2 linked regions of the Schizosaccharomyces pombe genome follow. The protein of the gene in region 1 interacts with the protein of each later gene in a biochemical or structural test. Each region holds a gene or a part of one and is shown in the gene's direction. Other genes may lie near its edges.

Region 1 (4,582 bases):
ATTAAATTGATAAATGCTCCAATAAGGAAAATAGCTAGTCCAATTTTGTTATTCTTCGGATTCGAGAAAGTCTTTGTCAATTGATACGGAGATTCTTCTTCACTCATTGTAATTTATTTTCTATTATAGGAGATATAAAAGAAGAACCGTTCGTTCCAAATTAATTTGATCAAAGTATGGTGAATGAAACCGTCGGGGTGGAGGTTAGGAAAAATGTGGTACTACAGACAAAAAATAGAATAATTTGCCTCTCCCATAAACAGATATTCAAGATGTATTTTATCGTATGTTCTCAAATTACCTAGACGCTAACACTAATAAATAAATTTGAAAATATTATTGGTAAGGTGGTCACATGGAGGAACTAGTCAACGAAATAGGTATCTGCCCTTGAGCTTGCAGTAGACTAATTAAATTGAAGACGACTGTAATATTCAAGTTTTATCTTTATGTCATCAAGTAATTACCAAACAATGGGGAAACGAATGAAGTTGTTGAATTTCATTAGCATACACATGTTTTCGTCAACTCCAACGTTACTCTCCCTATCCCAACTATTTAAAGTACGGTGGGCAGAGAGCATTCTGTTAACTACAAATATCATTATGGAATCTATCATTGACGCTCATTGCCATCCAACTGATGCACCGCAAGAATTACATTTGGTTGCTAATCTTTCTGTTGGTAAATTAATAGTAATGGGAACCCGGCCGACAGATCAAAAGTATGTCGAACAACTTGCGAAAGAATACCCTGGTAAAGTAATACCTAGTTTTGGGATACATCCATGGTTTTCTTATTATTTGTACGATGATTTGGATAAAGATTTGCAAAGTAGTGAAACGAGAAAAAAGAAGCATTACGAAAAAATATTGACTCCAATACCTGATGAAGATTTTATCAATGCTCTTCCCAACCCAGTCCCGATTTCAGAATTTTTGGAGGACGCTCGTCGACATCTTAAACAGTACCCAAACGCTCTCATTGGCGAAATCGGCTTGGATAAGCCATTTCGATTGCCAGTTGGCCCATATGATGCAAGGTCCTCACTTCCTCAAGGACCTCTATCACCATTTTACGTAAAAATGGAACATCAATGTAAAGTGTTTGAAGCACAAGTGCGTCTTGCTGCAGAATTCCAACGTGCTGTTAGTGTTCACTGCGTTCAGACGTATGCTCTTTTGTATAGCAGTTTAGCTAAATTTTGGGATGGTCGCTGGATTCCTTCCAAAACGAAAATACGAAAGATGAAGAAAGAAGAGTACGAAAATTCTCTTGCTGAAGAACGAAAGCATTACCCTCCCAAAATTTGCCTTCATAGCTACTCTGGTAGCATTGAGCAAATTTCTCAGTTTTCAGCCCATAAAGTTCCGACCGAGTTTTACTACTCTTTTTCAATAGGTATAAATAGTCGTTATAAAAATTTTATTCAAACACTTAAAGGCGTTCCCGACGATAAGCTATTGGCAGAGAGTGATCATCACAGTGCTAGCCAAATCGATGAATTAGTTCGACAATCTTTGAACGTTATGTCAGAAGCTAAGTCCTGGACTTTTGAGGATACTATTACAAAAATTTCAAGTAACTCTAAAGCATTTTTGAAAGTAACTTGAACGCATGCACTACGGTTTATTGACAAATTAGAGTTACCTGCACAATCACCTTAAATAAGTGCATAAGAGATTACTGGCTATTCCCATTGGAATTGGTAACCTTTAGGTTCGTTTTTTATCTGTTTCGTTTACTAAATCCCGAAACTTGACTGAACTAGTGTGGAAATGCTTGCGTTTGCATACAACTTTATTTATAATGTCCTTTTTCATGAACTTTTTTCTTATATTGTCCACCTAATGTCTCTATCTTAAAAATTTCTAACACTTTGCTGAACATGTTTAGCAAAATTCTTTTGTTTATTTATTACTTAGGATAAAATATTTTTTAAAAAAATTTTTGTGATTCCCGTTACTAAAGTATTCTACTAAAACCATCTTGAATTTCCACTTTTTATGAAAGGAATATGCACGTACAGCAAATTCTTAGACTTTTTTGCTCTTTTAGTGATCGTAAGCCAAGCATTAACTGATGTATCTTAGCCATTCAAATTCGTAATACTAAGCTACTTTTTTTTCCAATTCTTGGTATGCCTATTTCACAAATTGAAATTTATACATCAGTTACACTTATAAATCTTTTAACATTGATTAAGAACCCAATTGAATACTACTATCTGAATTAACGACAACTCGGTCATTTCAGGCTATTCAAAAAGGAGGTTAGGGGCAGACCTAAGGAATTTGTTTCTTCTGTGTACAAAAGTGTTAGTGACCAACATAGAGGGGCAGTGATGTTGAAGCAAGCGGAATCTATGTTAAAATGGGCAATCGAAAAGGATAATTATACTACTTCTGAAAAAATTGGACTCAACGATTACCGTCACGTACATGAGTCACTGGGGATTGGATTCATCGCCTTAGAGGACATTAAGGTAAGCAATCCAAAACTGACAGTATATGAAATCTAACAATACTTGAAGGAAGATGAAAAATTAGTCAGTTTCAAGAAGGATAGTGTTTTGTGCTTGACAAATTCGGACTTGGCACAACTTCCCGAAGTTCAAAGTTTACCCAGTTGGGCTGCCCTTTTGTTAGTAATGGCAACTGAAAATGCAAGTCCTAACTCGTTTTGGAGACCTTACTTGTCGATCTTCCCAACCAAAGAAAGAATTACTTCACCCTTTTACTGGGATGAAAACAAAAAAGATGCCCTTCTGAGAGGTACCGTATTAGAATCCAATGAGGATTGTAATGAAATTACACAATTATGGATCGACAGAATTGAACCCATAATTAAGTTATACCCAAATCGGTTTTCACAAGTGAGCTATGAGGACTTCTTGCGAATGAGTGCTGTAATGCTTGCATATAGCTTCGACATTGAAAAAACGAAATCGCCAATTTCGAATGAAAATGAAAAGTCTGCTGCTGAAACTTCGATAAAGGAGGACAAAAATGGAGATGCTGCTAAGAAGAATGAAGGTTCGGCTAATCAAGATGACGAAAAATTGCATTCACAAAGTCTTGTGGGTAACAACTGTGAAGTAAATTCAGAAGACGAATTTTCTGATCTCGAATCTGAGGTCGACCCTGATGAACTTGAAAAGGCAATGTGTCCTATATCTGATATGTTTAATGGTGACGATGAACTTTGTAACGTAAGAACTTTCGAACCTCAATGAGTTATTAATTGAAGCCAAAGATGTATACTAACTATGCTTTAGATTCGTCTCTACGATATCAATGGAACACTTACGATGATTGCTACTCGGGATATCAAAAAAGGAGAGCAATTGTGGAATACTTATGGGGAATTAGATAATTCAGAGTTATTTAGGAAATATGGATTTACTAAGAAGAAAGGTACTCCACATGACTTTGTTTTGATTAAAAAAGAGCACTGGCTTCCTGAGTACATTGAAAAGCTTGGATTTGAAGAAGTAGAAGCACGTCTTGAATTATTATGTCGTGAAGAGTTACTTTACAATTTGGAGGGGTAAGTTATGATCAATTCAATGATGAGCTTTTTATACCTAACGTTTTCTAGTGATTTTACATTTTCAAAAGCGGATTTGACGTTCAAAGAAATTTGTTTGGCCTTTGTGTTGATGGAAAAAGAAAAGGAATTAATATCTGTTCCTTCGAAATCAGACATAAAACCAAAGCATTATAGAAAACTACTCAAGATTATTGAAAAGCGGATAAATATGTATCCGAAGATTTCAGATCCAAAGAATTTTGATGAGGAAAATGCAAAGACATTAATTGAAGGGGAAATTGATATACTTCAAAATCTCTCTGCGAAAGTCAAAGAAGCCCTGACAAAAAATCGACCCAAGAAAAAGCAAAAGGTTGATCACTGAAAAGGAAAGCTGTGATATTGATAATTTTTTTTGCTACGAATTAAGTTCTTTATTACGGAAAAATAAATAAGATTATAGAGGTAAAATTATGGATGTATAGAATTTTGGGGACTTGCTACTCATAAATAATAAAAATTTTTGACTTGTGTATTGTTGTAGGCAATTAAAATAAGGCAGTACGTTTTATTAATTAATTTTTAAAATATAAACTATTGACTAAAAAAAATATGTTTTAAGTATTTGAGCATTAAAAAAAAATCCAAAAAATTAATCGCCAAGGTATATATCACTTACTTTATATTAGACAACATATTTAGAGAATGAAAATTAAGGCATACTAATTTTTTTTTATACTTTTTTTTTTATTTCCTAGTAATATTATTGTTTTTTTGGTTTAGTATTTCGTTATGTGAATAGTAAACTTGACTATTCAGTAATACTATAAAAATAACAAATACTGATATTGTAAAATCTCACATTCTATTTATTATTAGTAACCCAACAGATTTGCACACATATGAAAAAGTAATTATTCAAAACACTAATTTACCAAGTTGAATCAACTTCTAATGTTTTGAAACGGATTTGCTTGAGGAATATGTGAGATTGTCAATGAATGTAAGTGTCAAATTACTCAATTGTCTATTTGGTTAAGTTAGTACTGCT
Region 2 (3,080 bases), 580 kb from region 1:
TCCATTGGCAACTCCAAAGCCATTGAAGCAACCTGATTTTAATATATATGAGACGCCGATCGTCCGTAGTACAGCTCATGAAACAGATGATGAACAAACCCCTTCTAAATACTCCGATAACAGAGTCGAAAGTTCTAGTGATACAGTGTTTGAGAATACTGATCTTAAGTACGATAACAATGTACAGATGAGTAAAGTGACTCATCATGTAAGACACGATACGATATCCACTGATGACTATGACGCTTACGAAGATGCCGAAGATGTTGAAGAGACAAGCCTAACTTAATGTGCATAAGTTTTATTCGATTTGGCAATGATTGTATGCCAGTTTGTGTATTTTTTTTTTACTTTTTTTAACTTTAATTGTTACGAGAGAAATTACCCTGTATTACACTAGGACTGATGCAAATCTTGTGAATCAAGGATTTGCTGAATAGAGTTACAACATACCTTAATATGTACAGTTATAACAAGCAAAGGAAGCTTCGATGTTGTCCAATACCACTATTGGGATACTATTTTCACTTACAGTCTAACCAAATATGAGATAAACACAGAAAAGAAATCTTAGATATTAAAGAAAATTTGATTAACTTGTCGTTTTAAAAATCAGATATTGAACCATCGGAATCTTAAATACGACGTACGCCGTAACCGATCAAGGCAACACTTAAGCCTACTGATTTCACTAGAGAAGATATAGTTTTGACAAGGATGTAAGGGGTACCTCTGCTTTCTGTGAACATATAGTCGACTACGTCGGGCAATCCAGATGCACCAAATACATAAAGACCCACGAAAAAGGCACCTTTGAGTGTCACAGTGCCTGTAAGTTGCAACAATGCAGCGATCGAGTACGACTGAACTGCTGTACTAAGGAAATTGCTAACATAAGTTGTAGCAACCTTCTTGGTTTTACTTCCAGCGTCATATTCGACGTGAGGTGCAGTGCTCATTGCCCTTTTCCAAATATCGCCCATTAGGGGTCCATAAACGAGGAAAGAAGCAGCATGGTCGAAGGCAATCCCCAAGAGAATTGCACTAGGGCGTACATACGGCATGTGAGTGTAGGATGGCATTTCTTGTATTAATATTTAGTTTGAGTTAGAACAAGATTAATATGAATGTGAATATTTTGTAAAATAAATGTTTTGTAATTAAAGGATTTAAGGGCGCTACCACTAAATATATAGTATACTCAAGGTCCAATTATGGATTTAGGTACAGATTAATTTGGGGCGTCACTTTGACGTGTCGATGAAGTATGATAATTGGGAAATACTGCTTAGCCTGACTTGACTTGTTTTAAGTCGCTATTTCGCTATTTACATAGTGATATCTACATCATTTTCCTAAACTTTTGGTGGAGCAATATCTCATACTGTTCGGATGCTGTGCCAAGTCTTGCATAAAGAAATCAGTGAAGTCGATAAATATAAGATTTGGAGTGCAGCGATGGTAACAACTAGTGATTAAAAATAGAAATTTACTACAATAATTTTCGCATGTTTTACATTAAAAAGCCCTCACAGAAGAATCAAAGTTGGATTGAAATTCCAGCACTAAAACAATGTAGCTTAGAAATTTTGTTTGCTGGCCCACATTTGATATATTGCAAGCTTGATCTTACGCAGTAAACACTTTTAGGGTAGCTATCGGTTGTTCACACTATTGCGAACAGTGCGTTGAACGACATTACAGCAGCAAGTAAACCTAACCTAGAGGAATAAGAAACAGTCACATTTGTACAACAAGGGTTTAGCAGAGAAACTTTATGCTGTCGAGTTCCTAATCACCACCATCTAACCATCACTTATAAAAGTATCAAAAAATGGTGAACATTCCCAAGACCCGTAAGACTTACTGTCCTGGTAAGAACTGCCGCAAGCACACTGTCCACAGAGTCACCCAATACAAGAAGGGACCTGATTCCAAGCTTGCTCAGGGTAAGCGTCGTTATGACCGCAAGCAAAGTGGTTTTGGTGGTCAAACTAAGCCCGTTTTCCACAAGAAGGCTAAGGTTACCAAGAAGGTTGTCCTTCGTTTGGAATGCGTCTCTTGCAAATACAAGAATCAATTGGTTTTGAAGCGTTGCAAGCATTTCGAGCTTGGTGGTGAAAAGAAGACTAAGGTATGTCGAAGAATGCTGATAACGAGTGGATTGGATTTAGACGAATTTGTAAAAGAGTTTTTGCCGTGGTTGAATACCTCTCAAATCCAGAAAAAAAATTTTGCAAAGCGCTTTTATGAATTGTCTTTTGTTGAGTTTCATCCTTATTATCGATCATTTTCTTTATTTCATCTACTAACAATCATTTTAGGGTGCTGCTATCCAATTCTAAGTGTTTTAGCAAATACAATTTTCTTCTTTTACGGTGATCCTAAAAGCAATTCAAAGTAGTGTTTCATTTGTATTGTATAAATAATGACATGATTCCGATAGAGTAGCACACAAAGTGATGAGTTGTCATCAATTAGCAGTTCGCTAACGCTAAGGTCTGTTCTCAATATTGGAGCAATCTTTTTCGAGTGTTTCTAGTTCCATCGGTTTGAGTCAGAGCTTTTCAAGACTTGTATTACTGCTTGAGTAGAAGACAGGTGTTGTGATTTCGGAAAATAACCCATCACATTTGTCAGCATGTTAACTAAGATAAAAGTAATCAAACAAGTACAGCGTAAAATAGCGAGAGTACTAAAGCATCAAATATGCTTTCAAGTATTGCAAAAAAATTTTCTTTAAATTATCCATGCTTACGGGTCTTCTAAGGTTTAGGAGACTATGCCATTTGCCGAATTATGGATATATTAAGTAACTAATTGCTAATAGTGAGAGTGTAGTGCATCCTTGCATAACGGCACTTGGATTTCACACTGCAGGCATAATAAATAATTACTTTTTTTTGGTACTAAAGCAACGTACGTTCTTTGTTTTTCTGCGTACGACGTGTACAATTCCCTTGCAAAACTAAGGTTCGCTTGTTCAATTGCTAAATTTGTTTTTGTGGACGACCATTATAACGCGCTTCAATGAGTTTATAAAAGTTTCATTAAATTGCAGTACCAGATAAATCGATATC

What was found.
Region 2: of the proteins of set13 (region 1) and rpl42, one has a biochemical effect on the other in vitro, tested with the Schizosaccharomyces pombe proteins (one study listed by BioGRID).

What each region holds. Positions count from the first base shown.
Region 1 is NC_003424.3:3,139,119-3,143,700, forward strand, and holds set13 (ribosome L32 lysine methyltransferase Set13), read left to right. Parts: upstream 1-2,305; 5' UTR 2,306-2,344; coding exon 2,345-2,485; exon of another isoform or gene 2,486-2,533; coding exon 2,534-3,211; exon of another isoform or gene 3,212-3,277; coding exon 3,278-3,549; exon of another isoform or gene 3,550-3,600; coding exon 3,601-3,916; 3' UTR 3,917-4,065; downstream 4,066-4,582. Other genes in the region: SPOM_SPAC688.12C (uncharacterized protein), read right to left, coding at 1-107; scn3 (TatD DNase family Scn1), read left to right, coding at 606-1,613. UniProt on the Schizosaccharomyces pombe protein: S-adenosyl-L-methionine-dependent protein-lysine N-methyltransferase that monomethylates 60S ribosomal protein L42 (rpl42) at 'Lys-55'.
Region 2 is NC_003424.3:3,720,675-3,723,754, forward strand, and holds rpl42 (60S ribosomal protein eL42), read left to right. Parts: upstream 1-1,782; 5' UTR 1,783-1,834; coding exon 1,835-2,134; exon of another isoform or gene 2,135-2,324; coding exon 2,325-2,345; 3' UTR 2,346-2,400; downstream 2,401-3,080. Other genes in the region: bud6 (actin-interacting protein 3), read left to right, coding at 1-289; SPOM_SPAC15E1.02C (uncharacterized protein), read right to left, coding at 636-1,082.